Linked DNA regions of Macaca fascicularis. The protein of the gene in region 1 interacts with the protein of each later gene in a pairwise test. Links are inferred from orthologs where the notes say so. Each region holds a gene or a part of one and is shown in the gene's direction. Other genes may lie near its edges.

The links. The genes of interacting proteins can lie anywhere in the genome.
Region 2: the proteins of RBBP8 (region 1) and RBL1 interact in a two-hybrid assay, tested with the Homo sapiens proteins (2 studies listed by BioGRID and IntAct). The link is inferred for Macaca fascicularis from reciprocal best matches to the Homo sapiens genes RBBP8 and RBL1.
Region 3: the proteins of RBBP8 (region 1) and RB1 interact in a two-hybrid assay, tested with the Homo sapiens proteins (2 studies listed by BioGRID). The link is inferred for Macaca fascicularis from reciprocal best matches to the Homo sapiens genes RBBP8 and RB1.

Annotation. Positions count from the first base shown.
Region 1 is NC_088392.1:66,744,634-66,752,855, reverse strand, and holds part of RBBP8 (DNA endonuclease RBBP8), read left to right. Parts: intron 1-4,089; coding exon 4,090-4,231; intron 4,232-8,222. UniProt on the Homo sapiens protein: Endonuclease that cooperates with the MRE11-RAD50-NBN (MRN) complex in DNA-end resection, the first step of double-strand break (DSB) repair through the homologous recombination (HR) pathway.
Region 2 is NC_088384.1:93,116,951-93,125,172, reverse strand, and holds the end of RBL1 (retinoblastoma-like protein 1), read left to right. Parts: intron 1-4,187; coding exon 4,188-4,352; intron 4,353-6,565; coding exon 6,566-6,736; 3' UTR 6,737-7,384; downstream 7,385-8,222. UniProt on the Homo sapiens protein: Key regulator of entry into cell division. Directly involved in heterochromatin formation by maintaining overall chromatin structure and, in particular, that of constitutive heterochromatin by stabilizing histone methylation.
Region 3 is NC_088391.1:27,515,207-27,523,428, forward strand, and holds part of RB1 (retinoblastoma-associated protein), read left to right. Parts: intron 1-913; coding exon 914-970; intron 971-1,395; coding exon 1,396-1,427; intron 1,428-1,508; coding exon 1,509-1,585; intron 1,586-2,594; coding exon 2,595-2,791; intron 2,792-8,222. UniProt on the Homo sapiens protein: Tumor suppressor that is a key regulator of the G1/S transition of the cell cycle. The hypophosphorylated form binds transcription regulators of the E2F family, preventing transcription of E2F-responsive genes.

The DNA of each region.
Region 1 (8,222 bases):
CCCTATTACAATGTAAATGCTATGTAAATAGTTGTTATACTGTATTGCATAGGGAATGACAAGAAAAATAGTCTGTACATGTTTAATACAGATGCAGGTTTTTTTCCTGAATATTTTTGATCCATGGCTGGTTGAATCCATGAATGCAGAACCCAAGGATATGAAGGGCCAACTGTACTGATTGTCCTTTTACTAAATAGTCCCAGGCAGGTTCTGTTTTGACCTGGAACATGCTGTTTTTATTTCTTCCCTTGTTGTCCATTAGCTCTCAGATGCCTGCCTTCAGCAATTTACTTCCCCTTTTAAATTTCCTTTTTAACCTGTGGGCTAGAAAATTTGATAACCAAGCACATGAAAATTATATGTGAAAGTATGACTAGATTGTAATGCAGGTAAGCATTGGGTAAAAATATGCTCTTATGTACTAACAATGGGGATCACTATTTTGAAAAGCAGTTTGGCAATACAAGCAAAAGCCTATAATGTGAGTTCGTGAGTTATCATTACACAAATTCAATATATCATGATTTCTTAAAGAATATGGTCCGCGGCCAGGCGCGGTGGCTCAAGCCTGTAATCCCAGCACTTTGGGAGGCCGAGACGGGTGGATCACGAGGTCAGGAGATTGAGACCAACCTGGTGAACATGGTGAAACCCCGTCTCTACTAAAAAATACAAAAAACTAGCCGGGCGAGGTGGCGGCGCCTGTAGTCCCAGCTACTCGGGAGGCTGAGGCAGGAGAATGGCGTGAACCCGGGAGGCGGAGCTTGCAGTGAGCTGAGATCCGGCCACTGCAACTCCAGCCCGGGACACAGAGCGAGACTCCGTCTCAAAAAAAAAAAAAAAAAGAATATGGTCCGCATTGAGTAAATCTCTGATTTTTAGTTATATCCATAATTCTACGATCTAGAACTAATCCTACTAGTTAGAAAAAAGCTAGTTTGATAGAAAAGCTGTTAAGTTGCATTCATTCTCAATAATCATTTCCCGTGTTTTCTGTTATCCAATCTCTGCAAAACATTATTGTGTACATTTTAGTTTTTCTAGTTAATTTAGGTAGGAGGGTGAATCTGTTCTGTTACTCAATCATAAACAGAAGTGTAAGTGCCAGTCCCATGTACTTAAATACTAACTACAAGCTTGCAGTTCTTAAATGTATCCCATTGCCTATTCCACAAGTTGAGTGTGCAATACTCATGTGGATCTGCAGTAGTGATCTCAAATTTCACACGTCCAAAAACAAACATACAATATCTGCCCTCAATTCCCAAACCTCACCGCTGAATCTCCTATATGTCCTGAGATCTTGTAGTTATTCACTACTTTTTTATTTCACATCTCAATAACTTACGTATCAACAAACCCCATTGATTCGTTGATTCTTCCTTCAAAATATATCCCATATCAGGCCAGGTGCAGTGGCTCGAGCCTGTAATCCCAGCACTTTGGGAGGCTGAGACAGGCGGATCACAAGATCAGGAGATCGAGACCATCCTGGCTAACACTGTGAAACCCCGTCTCTACTAAAAAATACAAAAAAAAAAAACTAGCCGGGCGAGGTGGCGGGCACCTGTAGTCCTAGCTATTCGGGAGGCTGAGGCAGGAGAATGGCGTAAACCCGGGAGGCAGAGCTTGCAGTGAGCCGAGATATGGGCACTGCACTCCAGCCTGGGCGACAGAGCGAGACTCCGTCTCAAAAAAAAAATATATATATATATATATCCCATATCCATCCACTTACTGTCACCACCACTAATGCCCTGGACCAAGGCAACATTTTTAATTTTTTTTTTCTTTTTTTGAGATGGAGTCATGCTCTGTTGCCCAGGCTGGAGCACAGTGGCACCATCTCAGCTCACTGCAAGCTCTGCCTCTTGGGTCCACGCCATTTTCCCACCTCAGCTTCCCGAGTAGCTGGGACTACAGGCACCCGCCACCACGCCTGACTAATTTTTTTGTATTTTCAGTAGAGACGGGGTTTCACTATCTTAGCCAGGATGGTCTCAATCTCCTGACCTTGTGAAACGCCCACCTCGGCCTCCCAAAGTGTTGGGATTACAGGCGTGAGCCACTGCACCCAGCCAACATTTTATAATTGTAATAGCTTCTAAGTGCTCTCCTGGTCATTTATTTTTTACTCTAAAACTTTTATTTTGACTGGGCACACTGGCTCACGCCTCTAATTCCAGCATTTTGGGAGGCTGAGGCGGGTGGATCACCTGAGGTCAGGAGTTCAATACCAGCCTGGCCAACATTGTAAAACCCTGTCTCTACTAATAATACAAATATTAACTGGATGTGGTGGTGCATGCCTGTAATCCCAGCTACTAGGGAAGCTGAGGCAGGAGAATCGCTTGAACCCAGGAGGCAGAGGTTGCAGTGAGCTGAGATCGCTCCATTGCACTCCAACCTAGGCAACAAGAGCGAAACTCCATCTCAAAGAAATAAATAAATATTTATTTTTTTAGAGCAGTTACAGGTTCACAGCAAAGTTGTACAGAAAGTACATAGAGTTCCCATGTACTTCTGTCCTCATTCTCTTTTACTTTTCATTCTTGTCTGTTAACAATGTACTTTCAGCTCAGCAATGAATGGCCTTTTTTTAGAATGAAAGTTAAATCATGTCATTCCCAAAATCCTTTAGTGTCCTCCCATCCCACTAAGAAAAAGAATCTAAAGTCCTTATCAAGGACAACAAACTCTGGCACTGCACTTCCTCTCTGATTTCCTGTTCTACCACTCACCCATTTGCTTGCCGTCTTAGAACTGCACTGACCGACTACTGTTTCTCAAGTATGTTTTAATTCAGTGGCAATGTTTTTTCCAGTAATCCCTGATTCTCTAAGGTCATCTCATCCCAAAGCCCAGACTAAGGTAACAAAGGCTTAAACTTAGGGCCGTGAGAATGATGAAAAAGATACCTGAATAAAGTTGTTTCACACTTCTTTAAAGCCTTTAATCTACGTAAAATAGAAATGTATTAAAAGCTTTTACTTCAAACTTAAATTCTAGTTTTAAGTCTGTCACTTTCAATAGGTGATATCTTTAGCAAATTACCACTTTCATTTTCAATTTCTCAAGTGTAAAGTGAAGGAATTGGCTGGATTAGATATGTGATTCTGGGTGGCTCATTCCTGTAATCCCAGCACTTTGGGAGGCTGAGACAGGTGGATTACTTGAGGTCAGGAGTTCGAGACCAGCCTGGCTAATATATAGTAAAACCCCGTCTCTACTAAAAAGACAAAATTAGCTGTGCATGGTGGCACATGCCTGTAGTCCCAGCTACTTGGGAAACTGAGGCAAGAGAATCACTTGAACACAGGAGTGGGAGGTTGCAGCGAGCCAAGATCGTGTCACTGCACCCCAGCCTGGGTGACAGAGTAAGACTTTGTCTCTCAAAAAAAAAAGTGATTCTGTCCATCTATGTTCTATTAAACCTTATACTACTGCTTTGTTTTCATTAGGTCTAGGCCTTAAAAACCTGTACAATTTTTACATATAATTTTATCCTTGTGTGCATGAAGTTCAAGTTCTGTGTTTTCACAGTTGCCAAAAAATAGTATGCTTTTGATCCTAACTGAAACCTTAAAGGGAGAACTCATGGAGCCTACAACATTCAGATCTAAATTGTTTTTTAAAACCGTAGAGATCGGAAAATTACCTTGAAACACACATTATATTCAGATAACAATTAAGAAACATGTAGACCTCTGAATTTTTGTTACTGGCCTAATAAGGATAAAGACTTTCTACCAGTGTATAAATCCACTGTATCACTAAGCACACTGTCAAGTTCAACTGGCTTTTCTTTTTTTTTCATTGCAAGACTTTATTGATGAAGGAAGCACTTTATTGGTTTACATTGTGATACAAGCTCCTTTTCTCATCAGTGAAGCAGGCACTTCACAGACCAACATCAGTACTGTCTATAAGAATTAATTACTAATAGTATCATCAGTGAGGATTAAGTTTCCTTAGAATGCTGAATATCTTAGTAAATGGCTTTTTTAGCTTCTAGTTTATAATCAATAAGCATAACACTCCATTTATTATTCTTCAGTGAAAAAACTTACCAGTTTTTATTGTTAGTATTATGCAGATATGCCAGCAGAAGAAAGAGAAAAGAAGTTGGCTTCCTGCTCAAGACACCGATTCCGCTACATTCCACCCAACACACCAGAGAATTTTTGGGAAGTTGGTTTTCCTTCCACTCAGACTTGTATGGAAAGAGGTGAGAGTATAGATTGCAACATTTTATAATTAATTTTTTTAAATACTTGGCCGGGCACAGTGGCTCATGCCTATAATCCCAACACTTTGGCAGGCCGAGGCGGATGGATCACCTGAGGTCAGGAGTTAAAGACCAGCCTGGCCAACGTGGTGAAGTCCCATCTCTACTAAAATACAAAAAATTAGCCAGGCATGGTGGCACACGCCTGTAGTCCCAGCTACTGGGGAGGCTGAGGCAAGTGAATCACTTGAACATAGGAGATGGAGGTTGCCGTGAGCCAAGATTGTGCCATTGCACTCCAGCCTGGGCAACAGAGCAAGACTCTGTCTCAAAAATAAAATGAAATAAGATAATAAAATAAAATACTGTATGTGCCCAAATGTGAACATGCACTTTTTTTTCTATGGTTTCTTTACCTTTTCTGCAGGTTGGGTGGTAGTTTTGTGACATAAAAACATTCCTAAAGATAAAAGGACTCTTCAGTAATTTAGTTGGAATTAGAGATTGGTTATATCACTTTAATGTGATTGTGCTTATATTATTCTGCTTTACCAAATTTCAAAAAACAATTTCTCTTTTATTGTATCATCAAAATGACTTTTTTTTTTTTTTTTTTTTTTAAATATAGGGCCTCACTCTGTCACCCGGGCTGGAGTGCAGTGGCATGCACAGTCATGGCTCACTGATGCCTCCAACTTATGGACTCAAACTATCCTATCTCAGCCTTCCAGGTAGCAAGGACTACAGGCATGTGCCACCACACCCAGCACTTTTTTGTTTTGTTTTTCGCTAGAGACAGGGTCTCACTATGTTGCCCAGGCTGGTCTGGAACTCCTGGCCTCAAGTGGTCCTCCTGCCTTGACCTCCCAAAACGCTGGGATTACAGCCATGAGCCTCTGCACCCAGCCAAAATGACTTTAAATAAAATAAATAACCTAACAAAAACTACTAGCAAAGTTATATTTAAAAAGAGAGAATCTTTTTAAATCTCCTGCTATGAATTTTGGATTTTTAAACCTCACTTATCCAGAATGCTGTATGTTTATAAATGGTATCTGAATTAAAAAGATGTTTATTTGTTAGGTTGTTGACATGCAACTAGCTTGTTTAGATATGACACTTACATTTAATATAATTTGAGAATATATTCAGCTTTTAGGCTGTTAATAAAAGGTCAAGAGTAGTAATTTTTGTTCTGTCTTACCAGCAGCATAATGCTAAAAAATATAGATCCACACTTTTCTGGTTTTATATTTTCTACCGAAGTTAAGTTAGTTGGGTATGTGATCTGAAGTCTTCATGTCATATAACTTTCTTTGGGGTAGCATACTCCCATTTCTGTGCTCAAGCTAGGATTATTAATCTGGACATTGCCACTGTTCCAGGCATATAGTAATTCATAGTCACTAAGGTCTGAACTTCATTGTAATCATTGGTTTAAATGAAATGAAAAGCTCGAGTCCTTAGCCTTAAAAGAGCTATTTAATTAAGCAGGGTCCATTTCACAGACCCTTTGTTGTGAAAATATCATTCCAGAGGAGCTCATAGAGCATTTAATAACTAGTTTTTATGAAGGGGCCTTTTTTTTTTTTTTTGAGATGGAGTCTCTGCAAGGCCCAGGCTGGAGTGCAGTGGCATGATCTCAGCTCACTGCAACCTCCACCTCCCAGGTTCAAGCGATTTTCCTGCCTCAGCCTCTTGAATAGCTGGGACTACAGGCACACGCCACCACACCCAGCTCTTTTTTCTTTGTATTTTTAGTAGAGATGGGGTTTCACCATTCTGGCCAGGCTTGTCTCGAACTCCTGACCTCAAGTGATCCACCCGCCTTGGCCTCCCAAAGTGCTGGGATTACAGGCTCGAGCCACCACACCTGGCCTGAAGGGACCTCTTTAACTAAAGATTTTATTCTCTACATGATTGTATTCTTAGACTTTTTTTGTATGTGGCACATATAGTTCAAAACTCATTTGTTATTAAATGAATGTTGGTATAGACATTCAGTCAGACATTCTCTTTAATAAGACAATATACTCTTAGTTTTATGAAGAATTTTAATTCAAAATCATCCTTAAACATAACTAAATATTCGCATTACATATGTATAGTTTATATATATATAAACTAAACGCATTACATATGTACAGTTTATATATACCAAGTATACTTGAATGAAGCTGTTTAGAAAAAAGCCACAAGAGAGGAAGAATATTAGCTAAGCAGGGACTTATCTGACCTCTTTATTATTTTTTGGTATTTTCTCCATGGTCCAAAGACTACCCAGGTGCAGACTAAGTCTTACCTTTTGGTTTAAAATACTGAGTTTTAGCTGTTCCAGAGGCCATTAGTTATCTCAGTTGATCGTTCAGTTACAGATCAAACTCCTTCTTTTACTCTTTCCCTTCGTTCTCACTACTGTACCTGACTTGTCTTAAAAAAAAAATAGTTTTATGAAAACGGGATGTGTCTTCTGGTATGTGATTGAAAAGTATAGTAGTGTTTAGAATATTTATGATTTGACTTTTTAATTAATTAGTAGCCCTCAGGCTTTAGGCCTGTGTTTGTCAGTTATAGATAAACATCTAAAATTTTTACCCACTAGAAGAAAAACTAGCATTAAATAAATGTCAGATGATAAAATTATACCACCTAGAATTTCATTTCAGCCTTGTCATCTTATGGAAACTGTTCTCACCTGGGCACAGTGTCTCACACCTGTAATCCCAGCACTTCGGGAGGCCAAGATGGGAGGATCCATTGAGCCCAGGAGTTCAAGACCAGCCGTGGCAGCAGAGTGAGACCCTGGGTCTAGACAAAATAAATAATAAGGCCGGGCGCCGTGGCTCAAGCCTGTAATCCCAGCACTTTGGGAGGCCGAGATGGGCGGATCACAAGGTCAGGAGATCGAGACCATCCTGGCTAACCCGGTGAAACCCCGTCTCTACTAAAAAAAAAAAAAAAATACAAAAAAAAAAACTAGCCGGGCGAGGTGGTGGGCGCCTGTAGTCCCAGCTTCTCGGGAGGCTGAGGCAGGAGAATGGCGTAAACCCGGGAGGCGAAGCTTGCAGTGAGCTGAGATCCGGCCACTGCACTCCAGGCTGGGGGACAGAGCGAGACTCCGTCTCAAAAAAATAAATAAATAAATAAATAAATAAATAATAAAATTAGCCAGGTATGATGGCACATGCCTGTGGTCCCAGCGGCTGAGATGGAAGGATTGCTTGAGCCCTGGAGGTGGAGGCTGCAGTGAGCCGTGATTGCACCACTACACTCCAGCCTGGGCAACAGAGCAAGACCCTGTTTCAAAAAAACAATTAATTTAATTTAATTTTGAAAAGCAGCTGTTCTCAATGAAGAGTTCTGATGATTTAACTGCACAAGGAGAGAGACCTTCTTCACTTTTGGAGAAGCTCCAGATGTTTAACGGTAGGATAGTTTTTCCAAAAGATGCAAAGTCTCTTGACAGCTTTCACTGTATTTCTGCTTTCCCCATTATTAAGCTAGATTGAGTCACCTTTGATGTGATATCTCACTGCCTGGTCACCAGATAGAATCAGTCTGGATAGAGCCTGTGATTGCACCCCTATGCGTATGGCAGAGCAAATACTTCCCCTGAAAATTACATGTTTAGAGACACCTTAGGAGATCTAATAGTCTGAATGGTATAGAGGGATTGTCATCTATTGAAATAGCTACTGTAAAAAGTGTTTTTGATAAGTACCTGAAATTTATAGTAGAGTTCATGTTGAGCACTTTGTCCCCCTTTGCAACTACCTATAGGAGGCAGAATAGGAAAGTTTAAGAATTCTGGTTCTGGAATAAGAAAGAGCTTGGGCCAGGTCCCAGCTCCTCTACTTGCTAGCTTTGTGAACTTGAACAAGTAATTTAACTTCCTTGGGTCTCTATTACCTCATCTGTGAAACAGGTATAGTAGAAACTATTTCAAACGAATGTGAGTTATATGAGATGATGTATGCAACCATTTGGTAAA
Region 2 (8,222 bases), on another chromosome or scaffold:
TTTTATCTATACCATGATTATGTTACTAGAAATTCCGTGTACATATGGGTAAGAACTTGATGGGAACATGAATATTAAAACAATTAATTTGTTTGTATTTATTTATTTATTTATTTTGAGACAGAGTCTCACCCCGTCACCCAGGCTGGAGTGCAATGGCATGATCTCAGCTCAACTGCAACCTCCGCCTCCCAGGTTCAAGTGATTCTCCTGCCTCAGCCTCCCCAGTAGCTGGTATTACAGGAGCATGTCACTACACCTGGCTAATTTTTTGTATCTTTAGTAGAGACAGGGTTTCACCATGTTGGTCAGGCTGGTCTTGAACTCCTGACCTCGTGATCCGCCCACCTCAGCCTCCCAGAGTGCTGGGATTATAGGCATGAGCCACTGCGCCCAGCAAATTTGGTAAATTTTTCTGTTGTTACATTGTGAGATTAATGTTTTTCTCAAGTTAAAGACAGAAGGGGCCAGGTGTGGTGGCTCATGCCTGTAATCCCAGCACTTTGGGAGACCGAGGTGGGTGGATCACCAGAGGACAGGAGTTCAAGACCAGCCTGGCCAACATGGTGAAATCCCATCTCTACCAAAAATTAGGTGGCGTGGTGGCAGGCACCTGTAATCCCAGCTACTCGGGAGGCTGAGGCAGGAGAATCACTTGAACCCAGGAAGCAGAGGTTGTAGTGAGCAGAAATTGTGCCACTGCACTCCAGCCTGGGTGACAAGAAGGAAACTCCATCTCAAAAAAAAAAAAAAAAGACAAAAGGAGGTCAGGCGCTGTGGCTCATGCCTGTAATCCCAGTGCTTTGGGAGGCCGAGGCAGGTGGATCACGTGAGGTCAGGAGTTCAAGACCAGCCTGGTCAACATGGTGAAACCCCATCTCTACTAAAAATACAAAAATTAGCCGGGCATGGTGGTAGGCACCCGTAATCCCAGCTACGTGAGAGGCTAAGACAGGAGAATCACTTGAATCCGAGAGGCAGAGTTGCAGTGAGCCAAGATTGCACCATTGCACACCAGCCTGGACAACAGAGCAAGACTCCGTCTCAAAAAAAAAAAGGCAAAAGGAAGTAGATAGGCCTGGATCATTAATAGAGGCACCACTAAGAAATTTTTATGCAGGCCAGGCGTGGTGGCTCACGGTTGTGATCCCAGCACTCTGGGAGGCCAAGGCAGGCGGATCACGAGGTCAGGAGATTGAGACCATCCTGGCTAACACAGTGAAACCCTGTCTCTACTGAAAAGACAAAAAAAAAAATTAGCCAGGCATAGTGGCGGGCGCCTGTAGTCCCAGCTTCTAGGGAGGCTGAGGCAGGAGAATGGCGTGAACCGGGGAGGTGGAGCTTGCGGTGAGCCAAGATCATGCCACTGCACTCCAGCCCAAGCAACAGAGCGAGACTCCGTCTCAAAAAAAAAAAAAAATTATGCAGACCCCAGTTTTGGCAGTCGCAGCAGGCCTGAGAAAGTGTTACCAGTGTGTAAGCTGAGGTTGCTTCCCAGAAGACCAGACTTTAGCTCTAAGAAAAAGAGACCAGCCAGGCACTTCCCAAGCCTGTAATCCCAGCACTTTGGGAAGCTAAGCCTGGAGGATTGCTTGAGCCCAGGAATTTGAGACCAGCCTGGAAAAATAAGAAGGCCCTGTCTCTTTAAAAAAAAAAAAAAACTCTACAAATTAGCCATGTAGTGGCTGGTATACACCCAAGTAGTGGTCCCAACTACTCAGCAAGCTAAGGTAGGAGGATCGCTTGGGCCCAGGAGGTCAAGGCTGCAATGAACCACAGTCGCATCACTGCACTCCAGTCTGGGCAACAGAGCAAGACCCTGCCTCAAAAAAAGAAAAGAAAAGAAGGCCCTAGCAGAAGCTGCAGCCAGCCAGCCAATAGCTGTTTCTATGTATCTGTGTGCATCTGTACATTTCTGTTCTTCCTCTTTTCATGGAATATGGTCTATGACTATCCTCAGAGGTCATAACTGTTCATCCTACTCCAGTTTCACTTCCCCTCTGTCTATATACTCTGAATATCTCTACCATCTTAATTTATTTCCATTATACAGGATATTAAAGAAAATGAAATCCTTGCTCATCCAACTTATTTCTAAATATTTTCCATTTCCATATGAAGTGTTTCCCATTTCATTAACAGATTTTTTTCCATGTCAGAATCATTCTGCTGGCTTATAGAATTCTCTGCCTCTTTTATTCTCTCTGCTACTGCTTTGGTTGTGGGGTAGAGAGAGATTTTGTGTGTGTGTAGAGAGAGATTGTTATAGCAAGTGTTAGAAGATTGGTTATTCTTTGTCCCTACTTTTTTTTTTTTTTTTTTTTTTTGGAGAAGGAGTCTCGCTCTGTTGCCCAGGCTGGAGTACAGTGGCCACAGTCTTGGCTCACTGCAACCTCCACCTCCCGGCTTCAGGCAATTCTGTGCCTCAGCCTCCTGAGTAGCTGGCATTACAGGCGCCTGTCACCACGCCCAGCTGATTTTCGTATTTTTAGTAGAGACAGGATTTCACCATCTTGGCCAGGCTGGTCTTGAACTCTTGACCTCATGATCCACCCACCTCGGCCTCCCAAAGTGCTGGGATTACAAGCGTGAGCCACCCTGCCCAGCCTGTCCTTACTTTTTAAGCATGAATATGAGGTTCTCGTGCTCGTGGCTTAACTCCTGGTGTCTTGTCCAGAATTTTTTTTTTTTCTTTTGAGACAGAGTCTCACTCTGTCACCTAGGGAGGAGTGCAGTGACATAAACTCGGCTCACTGCAACCTCTGCCTCCTGGGTTCAAACAGTTGTCATGCTCAGCCTCCCAAGTGGCTGGGACTACAGGCGCATGCCACCATACCTGGCTAATTTTTATATTTTTAGGAGCTACTCAGGAGGCTGAAGTGGGGTTTTGCCATGTTGGCCAGACTAGTCTCCAACTCCTGGCCTCAAGTGATCAGAGCATGTTGGCCTCCCAAAGTGCTGGATTATAGGAGTGAGCCACTGCACCTGGCCCCAGAAATCTTTTTTTTTTTTTTTTTGGAGGCAGATTCTTGCTCTGTCACCTAGGATGGAGTGCAGTGGCACAATCTGGGCTTACTGCAACACCTCTGCCTCCTGGGTTCAAGCAATTCTAGTGCCTCAGCCTCCCGAATAGCTCGGATTACAGGCATGTGCCACCACGCCCAGCTAATTTTTGCATTTTTAGTGGAGACAGAGTGTCACCATGCTGGCCACGCTGGTCTCAAACTCCTGACCTCAGGTGATCCACCCACCTCGGCCTCCCAAAGTGCTGGGATTACAAGTGTGAGCCACCACACCCGGCCAGAATTCTTAATACTAGTTATAGGACTTCCTGAAAGATCCAGGAAAATAGGCAGGGCATAGTGGCTCACACCTATAATCCCAGCACTTTGGGAGGCCGAGGTGGGTGGATCACCTGAGGTCAGGAGTTGGAGACCAGCCTGGCCAAGATGGTCATCTCTATTAAAAATACAAAATTAGCTGGGCGTGGTGGCACATGCCTGTAATCTCAGCTACTTGGGAGGTTGAGGCAGGAGAATCGCTTGAACCTGGGAGGCAGAGGTTGCAGTGAGCCTAGACTGCACCATCTTACTCTAGCCTGGGCAACAAGAGCGAGAGATACTTCATCTCAAAAAAAAAAAAAGATCCAAGAAAATAAATTCTACTTTATCTGTTGTTGTTGTAAAAAACAAAAAAAAAAAAAAGAAGTAACAGATCTTTTTTTTTTTTTTTGCTTTTCTCAACCATAAATGAGCTTTTATAGTATAACTGATTCCTAACTAGGAGATATCATAAGAATAAAAATGGCCGGGCGCGGTGGCTCAAGCCTGTAATCCCAGCACTTTGGGAGGCCGAGACGGGCGGATCACAAGGTCAGGAGATCGAGACCATCCTGGTTAACATGGTGAAACCCCGTCTCTACTAAAAAATACAAAAAAAACCTAGCCGGGCGAGGTGGCGGGCGCCTGTAGTCCCAGCTACTCAGGAGGCTGAGGCAGGAGAATGGCATAAACCCGGGAGGCAGAGCTTGCAGTGAGCCGAGATCCGGTCACTGTACTCCAGCCTGGGCGACAGAGCTAGACTCCATCTCAAAAAAAAAAAAAAAAAAAAAAAAAAGAATAAAAATATGGGATTCAAAAACAAAGAAAAACTTTTATCTAAAAAATCTGACTTTTGGGTTATTTTAGATGGATGCTCCACCACTCTCTCCTTTTCCACATATTAAACAACAGCCAGGCTCACCACGCCGCATTTCCCAACAGCACTCCATTTATATTTCCCCACACAAGAATGGGTCAGGCCTTACACCAAGAAGCACTCTGCTGTACAAGTTCAATGGCAGCCCTTCTAAGGTAAGGTGAATAGGCTAAAAGCTGGATTTCACATTAACAGTCAGTAACTGTTAATCTTGCCTCTTTTTTTGTTTTTGGCCAAGTTTCTACTATACTAATAAAATATGAAATGTTAACTATGGCATGTCTCCTCTCATCAAGAGCAGTATATTCAGTTTGAGGTAGTTTAATCCATTATTATTGACATGGTATTTGTGGAGTTCATTTTGAAAGTCCAGCATGTTTTCCTGTTCAAGCAAGATCTTGAGAAGGGACCAGTAAAGCAACATCTGCAAGTGGTCAGACCTGGGGGATGTCAAGTTGAAAGAAAGGCATTGGAAGTGAAAGTGCATTTGGTAGATGGCACCCAAGATAGGAAGACGTCTGAAAACACAAGCCTCCTCTTATGTACATAGACAACTCTGTGATCATCTCCATCCTTATCCTTGTTGAGTGGTGAAGATGTGATATGGACATGATTGCTGTTTTCAGATACTTCATGGACTGTCAAGCAGATCTGTTCAGTATGTCTCCAGAAGTCAGAATCAGTATAAACTGGAAGAAATTGTAGTGGGGCATATTGTAATTCAGTCCAAATACATTGGCTCCTTCTTATTACTTTCCTATTAAGTTATACAGATGCCTACAGAGTTCTCACTATACTTGACAAAGTTGGCTAAGATAATATACCTGACTGGACACAGTGGCTCAAGCCTATAATCCTAGCACTTTGGGAGGCCAAGGCAGGCGGATTGCCTGATCTCAGGAGTTCAAGACCAGCCTGGGCAACATGGCGAAACCCCATCTCTACTAAAAATACAAAAAATTAGCCAGGCATGATGGTCCGCACCTGTAATCTCAGCTACTCTGCTCAGGAGGCTGAGGCAGGAGAATCGCTTGAGCCCAGGAGGCGGAGGTTGCAGTGAGCCGAGATCACCCCTTTTTCACTCCAGCCTGGGCGACAGAAGAAGACTCTGTCTCAAAAAAAAAAAAAAAAATTGAAAAGCATTACTCTAAGGAAGAGGATCTCAAACTGTAGGGAGCTTTAAAATCATTGGGAGGGCTTGTTAAAACAGATTAGGGCTGGTCGCAGTGGCTCACGCCTGTAATCCCAGCACTTTGGGAGGCCGAGGCAGGCAGATCACGAGATCAGGAGTTCAAGACCAGCCTGGCCAACATGGCGAAACCCCGTCTCTACTAAAAATACAAAAATTAGCCAGGCATGGTGGTGGGCACCTATAATCCCAGCTACTCAGGAGGCTGAGGCAGGAGAATCGCTTGAACCCAGTAGGCAGAGGTTGCAGTGAGCTGAGATCGTGCCATTGCACTCCAGCCTGGGTGACAAGAACAAGACTTCGTCTCAAAAATAAACAAAAAAAAAAACAGATAAGGCCAGGCATGGTGGCTCACCCCTGTAATCCCAGCACTTTGGGAAGCCAAGGTTGGGGGATCACTTGAGGCCGGGAGTTCAAGACCAGCCTGGCCAACATGATAAAATCCTGTCTCTACTAAAAATACAAAAAAATAGCCAGGCATGGTGGCATGTGCCTGTAGTCCCAGCTAGGGAGGCTGAGGCAGGAGAATAGCTTGAGCCCAGGAGGTGAAGCTTGCAGTGAGCCAAGATCATGCCCTGCACTCCAGCCTGGGCAACAGAGAGAGAACCTGTCTCAAAAAATAAAAAAATTATAGATGCTTCTTCTGCTTCTGGTCATCGAGAACTACTATTATACAGTGAATTCAGTTGTTTTGGTTTTGTTTTTTCAGACAGGGTCTCACTCTGTTTCCCAAGCTGGAGTACAGTGGCATGATCACTGCTTACTGCAGCCGCAACCTCCCCAGGCTCAGGTGATGCTCCTTAGCCTCCCGAGTAGCTGAGACTACAGGCACAGGCCACCACACCTGCCTAATTTTTGTATTTTTTGTAGAGACCAGGTTTGCCATGTTGCCCAGGCTGATCTCAAACTCCTGGGCTCAAGTGATTGAACCATCTTGGCCTCCCAAAGTGCTGGTATTACAGGCCACCACACCTGGCCTTAAATCTAATTTTTAAGCCACCTGAAAAGATTAGTTCAAGCCATCCCTTATGAGGTTGTTCTAAGTTTTAAAAAGAATCCTTATCCCAGTGTGAAGATTTGGATAGAGGATAGAACACAGGAAAAAACAATTCACTTGGTTGTTTGCTGCCATTTCCCTTCTCCCTCTTTTACTCACACACGTTCTCTATTTCTGCACAGAGTTTGAAAGAGATCAACAACATGATAAGGCAAGGTGAGCAGAGAACCAAGAAGCGAGTAATAGCCATCGATAGTGATGCAGAATCCCCTGCCAAACGCGTCTGTCAAGAAAATGATGATGTTTTACTGAAACGACTACAGGATGTTGTCAGTGAAAGAGCAAATCATTAATGTTCTTGCTTCTATGATAAAAGCACTTTCAGATTGTTCTGCAGAAAGTTGGAGCTCTGTCCTTCAAACCTTTTAGCCCTATGGATGGTAAATATTGCTGGATTATAAGAAAAAAATTGCACAAAAATGTGCTTTTTAAAATATTTATCCAAAATGTAATTGACAGAGATGTATTTTGAGTTGGACTGGAAAGGAATATTTTAAGTGCCTTTTAAAAATACTAATAGTGGCCGGGCGCGGTGGCTCAAGCCTGTAATCCCAGCACTTTGGGAGGCCGAGGCAGGCGGATCACGAGGTCAGGAGATCGAGACCATCCTGGCTGACACGGTGAAACCCCGTCTCTACTAAAAAATACAAAAAACTAGCCGGGCGTGGTGGTGGGCGCCTGTAGTCCCAGCTACTGGGGAGGCTGAGGCAGGAGAATGGCGTGAACCCGGGAGGCGGAGCTTGCAGTGAGCCGAGATCCGGCCACTGCACTCCAGCCTGGGCGACAGAGCGAGACTCCGTCTCAAAAAAAAAAAAAAAAAAATACTAATAGTCCGGCTAGATGCAGTGGCTCACGCCTGTAATCCCAGGACTTTGGGAGGCCAAGGCGGGCAGATCACCTGAGGTCGGGAGTTTGAGACTAGCCTGACCAACATGGAGAAACCCCATCTCTACTAAAAATACAAAATTAGCCAGGTGTGGTGGCACATGCCTGTAATCCCAGCTACTTGGGAGGCTGAGGCAGAATTGCTTGAACTCAGGAAGCGGAGGTTGTGGTGAGCCTAGGTTGTGCCTCTGCACTTCAGCCTGGGCAACAAGAGTAAAACTCCATCTCAAAAATATGTATATATTAATAGGGATTTTTTTTTTTAATGTTTGCTCCTTAAGTTAGTTTTCAAGTTGAAATTAGGAGAAACCCCATAACTTTTTAGCTCTCTTTTAAAAATAAATGTCTCCTCCTCCTGTGTGTTGTAATATGAGGATAAATAATCTACTTTTGGTAAGCATGCTTTGAGATATTTGTATTCTCAATTTAATATTGAAGGAAGGGGTTGGTTCCCATAGTACCTGGCCAGAGGGTTATGTACCAGCCTGTCTCTGGCCCACTGTGGTAATTCCACATCCAGGTGCTACCACCATTCAGGGTTGTCTCCTTCTCGTGCCTTTTCTCTCCTTGAGCTTTATAAACAGATTTGTACCTGAGCCCCAATGCTATACTCATCCTTGCTTTCCAGCCCTAAGCCATCTCAGCCTGATGTCACAACCCAATAAATGGGCACTTTCTTCTTTTGTAAACTATTATCATTTTGGTTTCTGTGACATTAACTTAATTATATATGATCATACTAACTCATGTAGTTCTCAAAATAGGCAGCTGCTTCTCAAGCCAGTAGAATAAAATTCAGTTAGTTATTAAAAACTAAATTCCTGTTAGTAAGGTAACACCATGATTATGTGTGTTATACTATTTTTGAGATCATAGTATCAGTCATTCTCAATA
Region 3 (8,222 bases), on another chromosome or scaffold:
ATATTATGTACCATACATAATTGTATGTGCTATACTATGACTGGCAGTGCAATAGGTTTATTTACATCAGCATCATCACAAAGATGTGAGTAATGCACTGCACTACAACATTACACTAAACAAAAGGAATTTTTCAGCTCTGTTATAATCTTATGGGACCACTGTTATATATGCAGTTAGTTATTGACCAAAAACATTGTTATGTGGTGCATGATCGTGTATGAGATTTTTGCTCTTAATTTGGAATGAAATAATATGGTGTGTGTTTATATCTCTAAAATTTGGTTATTCTTTCAAATAATGGGAACCAGTTATTTGGTTAAAACGTCTTGCTCATAAGGTCAGTTTGATCTGATTTTTTCTGTGTCAGTTTTACTAAATTTATGGACAAAGACTGTCCTCTTAATCCTAGACAACCATCTTGAAAATACATGTCCTAGGTCATGAGAAATGTTATAGAAGGCACATAAAGTGCTTAAAATAGTACTGGGCATATAACCTATCTTTAGTATGAATGATATAGACTAAAATGAGTTAAGGAAATTCAGGTACTGGACCTACCCTCTTGTTAATTTACTTGGGAATGTTAATCACCACTTAATACTTAAGTCTTGAGTTTTAGACAAGCTAGCTTTTGTGTTTTCTTGGCGGCCATATTTCTAAGAGAAGTATGTTTTAAGAAAAGGCTTTTTAAAAAATTAGTAATTGTCAGCTGGATATAGAAGTGCATGCCTATAATCCCAGTCTCTTGGGAGGCCAAAGCAGGAGGATCTCTTGAGCCCAGGAATGTGAAGGCCAGCCTGGGCAAAATAGTGACACTCCATCTCAAAAAAAAAAAAAAAAAAAAAAAAAAATTAGTAGTTGTGATTTTCTAAAATAGCAGGCTCTTATTTTTCTTTTTGTTTGTTTGTAGCGATACAAACTTGGAGTTCGCTTGTATTACCGAGTAATGGAATCCATGCTTAAATCAGTAAGTTGAAAATAATATAAAAAAATTTCAGCCGGGCATGGTGGTTCACACCTGTAATCCCAGCACTTTGGGAGGCCGAGGTGGGCAGATCATGAGGTCAAGAGATCGAGACCATCCTGGCCATCTTGGTGAAACCCTGTCTCTACTAAAAGTACAAAAATTAGCTGGGCATGGTGGTACACGTCTGTAGTCCCAGCTACTCGGCAGGCTGAGGCAGGAGAATCACTTGAACCCGGGAGGTGGAGGTTGCAGTGAGCCAAGTTCGTGCCACTACACTCCAGCCTGGCAACAGAGTGAGACACCATCTTAAAAACAAAAAACAAAAAATAAACCAAAAAAAAAAACAACAAAAATTTCAATGCTAACACAAATAAGGTTTCAATTAAACAACTTCTTTTTTTTTTTTTTTTAATTATCTGTTTCAGGAAGAAGAACGATTATCCATTCAAAATTTTAGGTAAATTTTTTACTTTTAGTAAAACAATTTTTTTTTCTTTTTATAAAAGTAAATATCTTATAATCTTTTTTTTTCCTTTAGCAAACTTCTGAATGACAACATTTTTCATATGTCTTTATTGGCGTGTGCTCTTGAGGTTGTAATGGCCACATATAGCAGTAAGTTAAATTTTCATGAATAAACATTTTTGTTCAATTTAAAGTTAAAATGTAGTGTGTTTCTTTGGTGGGAGGAGAGGGATAGTGTGAGGTTAAGGAGAAGGAATGCTTATTTTAGATCACTATATACTGAACAATGTAATTGGTCATTATAAGCCATTTAAGAGGCTTATTTGAATTATTTGAGGCCATCTTGGGGATAATATTTCACTAGGCTCCTCTTCTGAGTATACTGGTATACTGAATTTAGAAAAGGTACATTTTGAAATCCCTCCGAAGACCTGTGAGATTGTAGAGTGCCAAAGGAGTATTCAAGAGTAGCCTCTACTGATATGGAAGCACTGCTATAACCTCCATGGTTATGAAACTAAAGACTGAAGCTGGAACCCACTGGATAAACAGAACAAAGGCCAGTTACAGTGTTTTTAAAAATATAAATGTATATCACTTTGCAAATTATGTTGCAAATGTTAAAAGAAAGTTTTGCTTGCAGAAACAAAAGGAACATTTGTAAAGGATGCAAAACACAGTGAAAGAGGAACTTCTAGTTTCCTTATTAGTAAACAAATAAGGAAAACTGTGAATCCTCATTTATAACCAAGAAATGCATATTTTAAAGAGATACCATTTTCTGACTAATGAAATTAGCAGGATCTTGAAGAATCTGTCTCTCCTCTTACCAAGGATTAATGAGAATTAAAATAGATATGCTAATAAATGGCTGGTAAGATACTAAACCTGTTTCTGATATAAGTTTAGGGTATTTAAACCTTTGAAAATTTGAGATAAGCTATAAGCCCTTTCTCTAGGAAAAATATAGATGTGCATACACTCAAAATTGGAAGGCTATTTCCTATGAGTCCGTAGACTCCAAAATAAAAAATTCTGCTCTAAATAAAAATCGTTTAACCTTTCTACTGTTTTCTTTGTTTGATAAGACTTTCCAAAAAAATACCTAGCTCAAGGGTTAATATTTCATATCTAAGTTACTTTTTTTTTTCATTTTTAGGAAGTACATCTCAGAATCTTGATTCTGGAACAGATTTGTCTTTCCCATGGATTCTGAATGTGCTTAATTTGAAAGCCTTTGATTTTTACAAAGTGATTGAAAGTTTTATCAAAGCAGAAGGCAACTTGACAAGAGAAATGATAAAACACTTAGAACGATGTGAACATCGAATCATGGAATCCCTTGCATGGCTCTCAGTAAGTAACTAGCTACATAATTGAAGAAATTCATTCATGTGCATATGGCTAACAAATTATCTGTTAGTGAGAGGTGTTTCTTAACATCTACCTCAAGAACAAATAGGCAATAATGAATAATGTTATTTCAGTCTGTAGCCCAAGAATCAAGTAGAATATTAGAATGGAGCTTTATTCGAGCGCCCTAAACCATCTAATACAGCATAGTGATTTATTTAAGAATAGCTTTTCTTAAAACATGGCACTTTAAAACAAAACAGAATTCTTTTTTTTTATTATTATTATATTTTAAGTTCTAGGGTAAGTTCTAAGTTCTAGGGTGCAGGTTTGTTACATATGTATACCTGTGCCATGTTGGTGTGCTGCACCCATTAGCTCGTCATTTACGTTAGGTATATCTCTTAATGCTATCCCTCCCCCCTCCCCCCACCCCACCACAGGCCCCAGTGTATGATGTTCCCCTTCCTGTGTCCAAGTGTTCTTATTGTTCAATTCCCACCTATGAGTGAGAACATGCAGTGTTTGGTTTTCTGTCCTTGCGATAGTTTGCTCAGAATAATGGTTTCCAGCTTCATCCATGTCCCTACAAAGGGCATGAACTCATCCTTTTTTATGGCTGCATAGAATTCCATGGTATATATGTGCCACATTTTCTTAATCCAGTCTATCATTGATGGACATTTGGGTTGATTCCAAGTCTTTGCTATTGTGAATAGTGTGGCAATAAACATACATGTGCATGTATGTTTATAGCAGCACGATTTATAATCCTTTGGGTATATACCCAATGATGAGATGACTGGGCCAAATGGTATTTCTAGTTATAGATGTTTGAGGAATCGCCACACTGTCTTCCACAATGGTTGAACTAGTTTACAGTCCCACCAACAGTGTAAAAGTGTTCCTATTTCTCCACATCCTCTCCAGCACCTGTTGTTTCCTGACTTTTTAATGATCACCATTCTAACTGGTGTGAGATGGTATCTCACTGGTTTTGATTTGCATTTCTCTCATGGCTAGTGATGGTGAGCATTTTTTTTTCATGTGTCTGTTGGCTGCATAAATGTCTTCTTTTGAGAAGTGTCTGTTCATATCCTTCACCCACTTTTGGATGGGATTGTTTGATTTTTTTCTTGTAGATTTGTTTAAGTTCTTTGTAGATTCTAGTTATTAGCCCTTTGTCAGATGGGTAGATTGTAAAAATTTTCTCCCATTCTGTAGGTTGCCTGTTCACTCTGATGGTGGTTTCTTTTGCTGTGCAGAAGCTCTTTAGTTTAATTAAATCCCATTTGTCAATTTTGGCTTTTGTTGCCATTGCTTTTGGTGTTTTAGTTATGAAGTCCTTGCCCATGCCTATGTCCTGAATGGTATTGCCTAGGTTTTGTTCTAGGGTTTTTATGGTTTTAGGTCTAACATTTAAGTCTTTAATCCATCTTGAATTAATTTTCGTGTAAGGTGTAAGGAAGGGATCCAGTTTCAGCTTTCTACATATGGCTAGCCAGTTTTCCCAGCACCATTTATTAAATAGGGAATCCTTTCCCCATTTCTTGTTTCTGTCAGGTTTGTCAAAGATCAGATGGTTGTAGATGTGTGGTATTCTTTCTGAGGGCTCTGTTCTAAAACAGAACATAATTCTTTAAAGTATTTAGATAATTTATTTAAAATACAGTCGTCATTATGTTTGAAAATGTAAATGTCTGCTCTTAAATTGTGAGATTATGTTATTTAGATTATTAAAAAGTGCATTTTTTTCTTGTTGAATATAATAGGATTCATTTTTCCCATTATTAGAGTATAAAAATCTATACTATTGTTCAATTATAGGTATTGGTGTATTGGTTCAATCATTATAGGGGCACAAATTATATTGTCTAGGATTCTCTTTATAGCATTATAACTATTGATAAGGCTTTTGTTTTAATAAAATTGGCAACTTGAGTTTATGCTCTTCAAATCTGCATAGTTGGATAATACTTTGTGAATCATCAGATTTGTAGATTAATGGTTTCTTTTGAAACTGTGTTGCATGCTAAGTATATATCTTTTAATTTGTATCAGTATATAGAAATGGTAATTAAAAATTAAGACTTTAGGTATGCTATAATCCTAATTTGCACATGTAACCTTAGTTTTAATTTCTTTATGTTTTGAATTTTTAATGACTAAGCAATAGTTTATTTCTTAGTGTTTTCTTGTGTTGCCATATAGACAGTGAATAGAGGAGAGAAGCATGGGAAATTGATAGAAGAATGTTATACTCCTATTATTGAATTTGGTAACTACTTATGGAATGAACTTACACTTGATAAGGAGTACTTAGGAGAAAACTTTCTGAATCTGGGGAATTAAGTGAAAGTAAAAATAAATAAATAGATAAGTAAATAAAATAAGCACATAGAGTACTTTTTAAAGGCTATGTGTCCTCTCCTCCCAGAAATTGATATTGAGATATTACCATATCATCTGAAAGTGACTATTGTTATTTCTTTTAGAGAGTTAATTTTATTTCTATCAACACATATTTATTGAACATATGCCATATGCCTTGAATTGAGAGAGATATTGTGAGGCTACAAAAAACATAAAGGCTTGGAAAATTGTGTAGGAAGTAATAAAAATTTACTGTTTAAAAATTGCTTGTATGCAAGTCTGTCTAGCTCAATTATTTAGGGCTTCTAAACAATATTCCTTTATTTTTGAAAATTTTTGGAGAAGAAGTGACAAGTCCAAAGTTTGGAAAAGACTATAATTGATTTACAATAGGAGATGTGGAAGTCATAAGCCTCCGAATTTAAATATTAAATGTGGTTCTTTGGCAGATGAAACTATAGAAGACTTTTATTTAGTCATATATTTTTAGTGTTTGAATTTTATGTTACATTTTTAATCATAAAACCCTTGAGTGGTAGTGGGTGGCTTTGTGAAGATAAGTTATGCCACACAAACAGGATGCTGTGTATTTTTTCCTGTGAGAAGAATTGACATTATAGAGAAGGGATATGGCTTAGATACATTTGCATTTTCACAGACTTTTTTTTTTATTTGAAATATATATTGAGAAAAGTATATATCTCAAGTGACAGTTTGGTGAATTTGTCACAAATTGAATACATCCATGTAAACAACACCCAGATAAAGACCCAGAGAAGGTCTTTCGATTCTGTGTCACAATAAAAAATTCTCGTTTAAACTGTAGATTGATAGGAACATATTCACACAGAGTTGTTGACTGAGGGAAATTTCAAATGAGGTGCCGCTTACTTCTCTCCTGCCAATAATTTAATGAAAAAAAGAATATCATCTTATTTTTAATGGTTGTGTGGGGAACTGGGTTCAGCATTTTTGCTTGACAGCCTTGAGAAAAGAATAAAGAAGGAAAAAGTCCACTTCTGTTTCTTTTCATCCCAGAGAGATTAACGGGCAATATGAGTGTAAGATGCTGGAAAAGTCTGTTGAGAAACCTAGTGAAATCTCATTCTCTGAAAATTTGGGGGATTACAGGTGCTTTAGAATGCATCATGCCTAAGGGTTAGATGAAATGACCTCCAGGTGTTTGACCCTATTAAATCTGTTAAGAGGCTTATAATGCCAGCAGGTGATGAAATGAAATTTGGATGCCTTAGTTTCAGTATTTTCAGAATTTATCATATTTTTTCAATAAATGTTTATAAATCAAAATACATCAGGTGCTTTATTCTCTATATGGTCTCTCTTTCCTGGACTCTTCTGGACTCTTCCTACTGATCTCTCATTTGCTACCTTGAGGCCTTTCTCTCACAGCAGCCAGAGAAATCTGCTCATAATGTAAATCTCATCATGCTAACTCCTCCGGTAAAAACCTCCTGTGGAGGACACATTCCTCTGGTAATGTTGGAAGAAAACCCTACCATATGACTCTCTGCAAAAAAAAAGACCACGATACTACCTGTTTGGAATACAAATAGTAATTGACTGAAATTACTGGACAGGAAGAACAGACTCTAGTTGAGAAAGAGAAGAGGGGAGCTGGGAGCCTGAGGAGAAGGCTTTTAGTCTAGGGCTAAGTGCAGTAGGTATAGGGAAGGACAGTATGGTAGGGCAGGAATGTCAGTGGGAAAACTATGGGTCTCTTTACCAGGGAAACTGCAAAGTTGAAGCTGGGGAAACCTTGGCCACTGAAGAGAGTGGAAGAATCCTGCAAGGGAAAGAGCCAAGAAAGGGTACCCAGATTCTGTCTGAAATCTGAATAGTTCCTGTGTATAACAGACTCAGAGCAGCCAAATGAAGGGCAGAGGATCTGAACTGAGACTGGAGTTGCTGCCCAATAAACAGAACAGTTCAAGTTAAGCAAAGATAATTACTTCTTGTAACAAACAACAAAACCATGCTCATTTTAGAAAAATAGCAGAATTTAGGATCTTCACAATTTAACATTTATGATATTCAGGATGCAATTCTAAAATTATCCAGCATAGAAAGAAGGTCAAAGGAATCAAATGCAGGTTTATAGAACAGGAGCTTTAGACCAGGTGTGTGGTGCACACCTGTAATCCCAGTATTTTGGGAGGCTAAGGTGGGAGGATCATTTGAGCCCAGAAGTTCAAGACCAGCCTGGGCAACAAAGCAAGACCCCATCTCTTAAAAAAAAATAGCTAGGTGTGGTGGCATGTACCTGTGGTCCTAGGTACTTGGGAAGCTGAGGCAGGAGGATCACCTAAGCTCGGGAAGTCAAGGCCGCAGGGAGCCATGATTGTGCTTCTGCACTCTAACCTGGGCAACACGAGACTCTGTCTCAAAAACATAAAACCAAAAAAACTAGAATGGGAGCTTTAAGTTAACTGTGGTCAGGCATTGCTAAATTATGGGGATACATTCTAAGAAATACTTCATTTAGGCTATTTTGTCATTGTGTGAACATCATAGAGTATGCTTACACAAACCTATGTGGTATAGCCTACTACACATCAGGGTAGGAATAGCCTGTTGCTTCTAGGCTACAGACCTGTATGATATTTTTTTTTATTATTATTAAATCTCCGCTCTTGAGTATGTCTTTTTAATATTCAATGTGGTAAAATTGAAGGATGTAGAAAGTTACATACCAAGGTATGATAGTTGTCTTGAGGAAAAATACTTATTTTATTGGTTGAGTTGTGAACTGAACCACTCTTTTCATGAAACACATGTGTTACTTCTAAGACTGATGAGCAATTGTGTTTATTCTTGCTTGGGTATGTGGTAGATTCTTGCAAATGAACAAAGTGAGCCTGTCACTTCAAAGAAAACAAAGAAAACTGACAGTAAAGGTTGCCAATGATAAATTTTGTGTTTTCAAGTAAAAATTAGAATTTTAGAAACTTGTATCTACCACTGAAAGCTTGGCAGAGTCCTAATATTATAAAAGACTTTTCTGATGAAATAGGTGGTCATGTCAATGAATGTGATTTCTAAA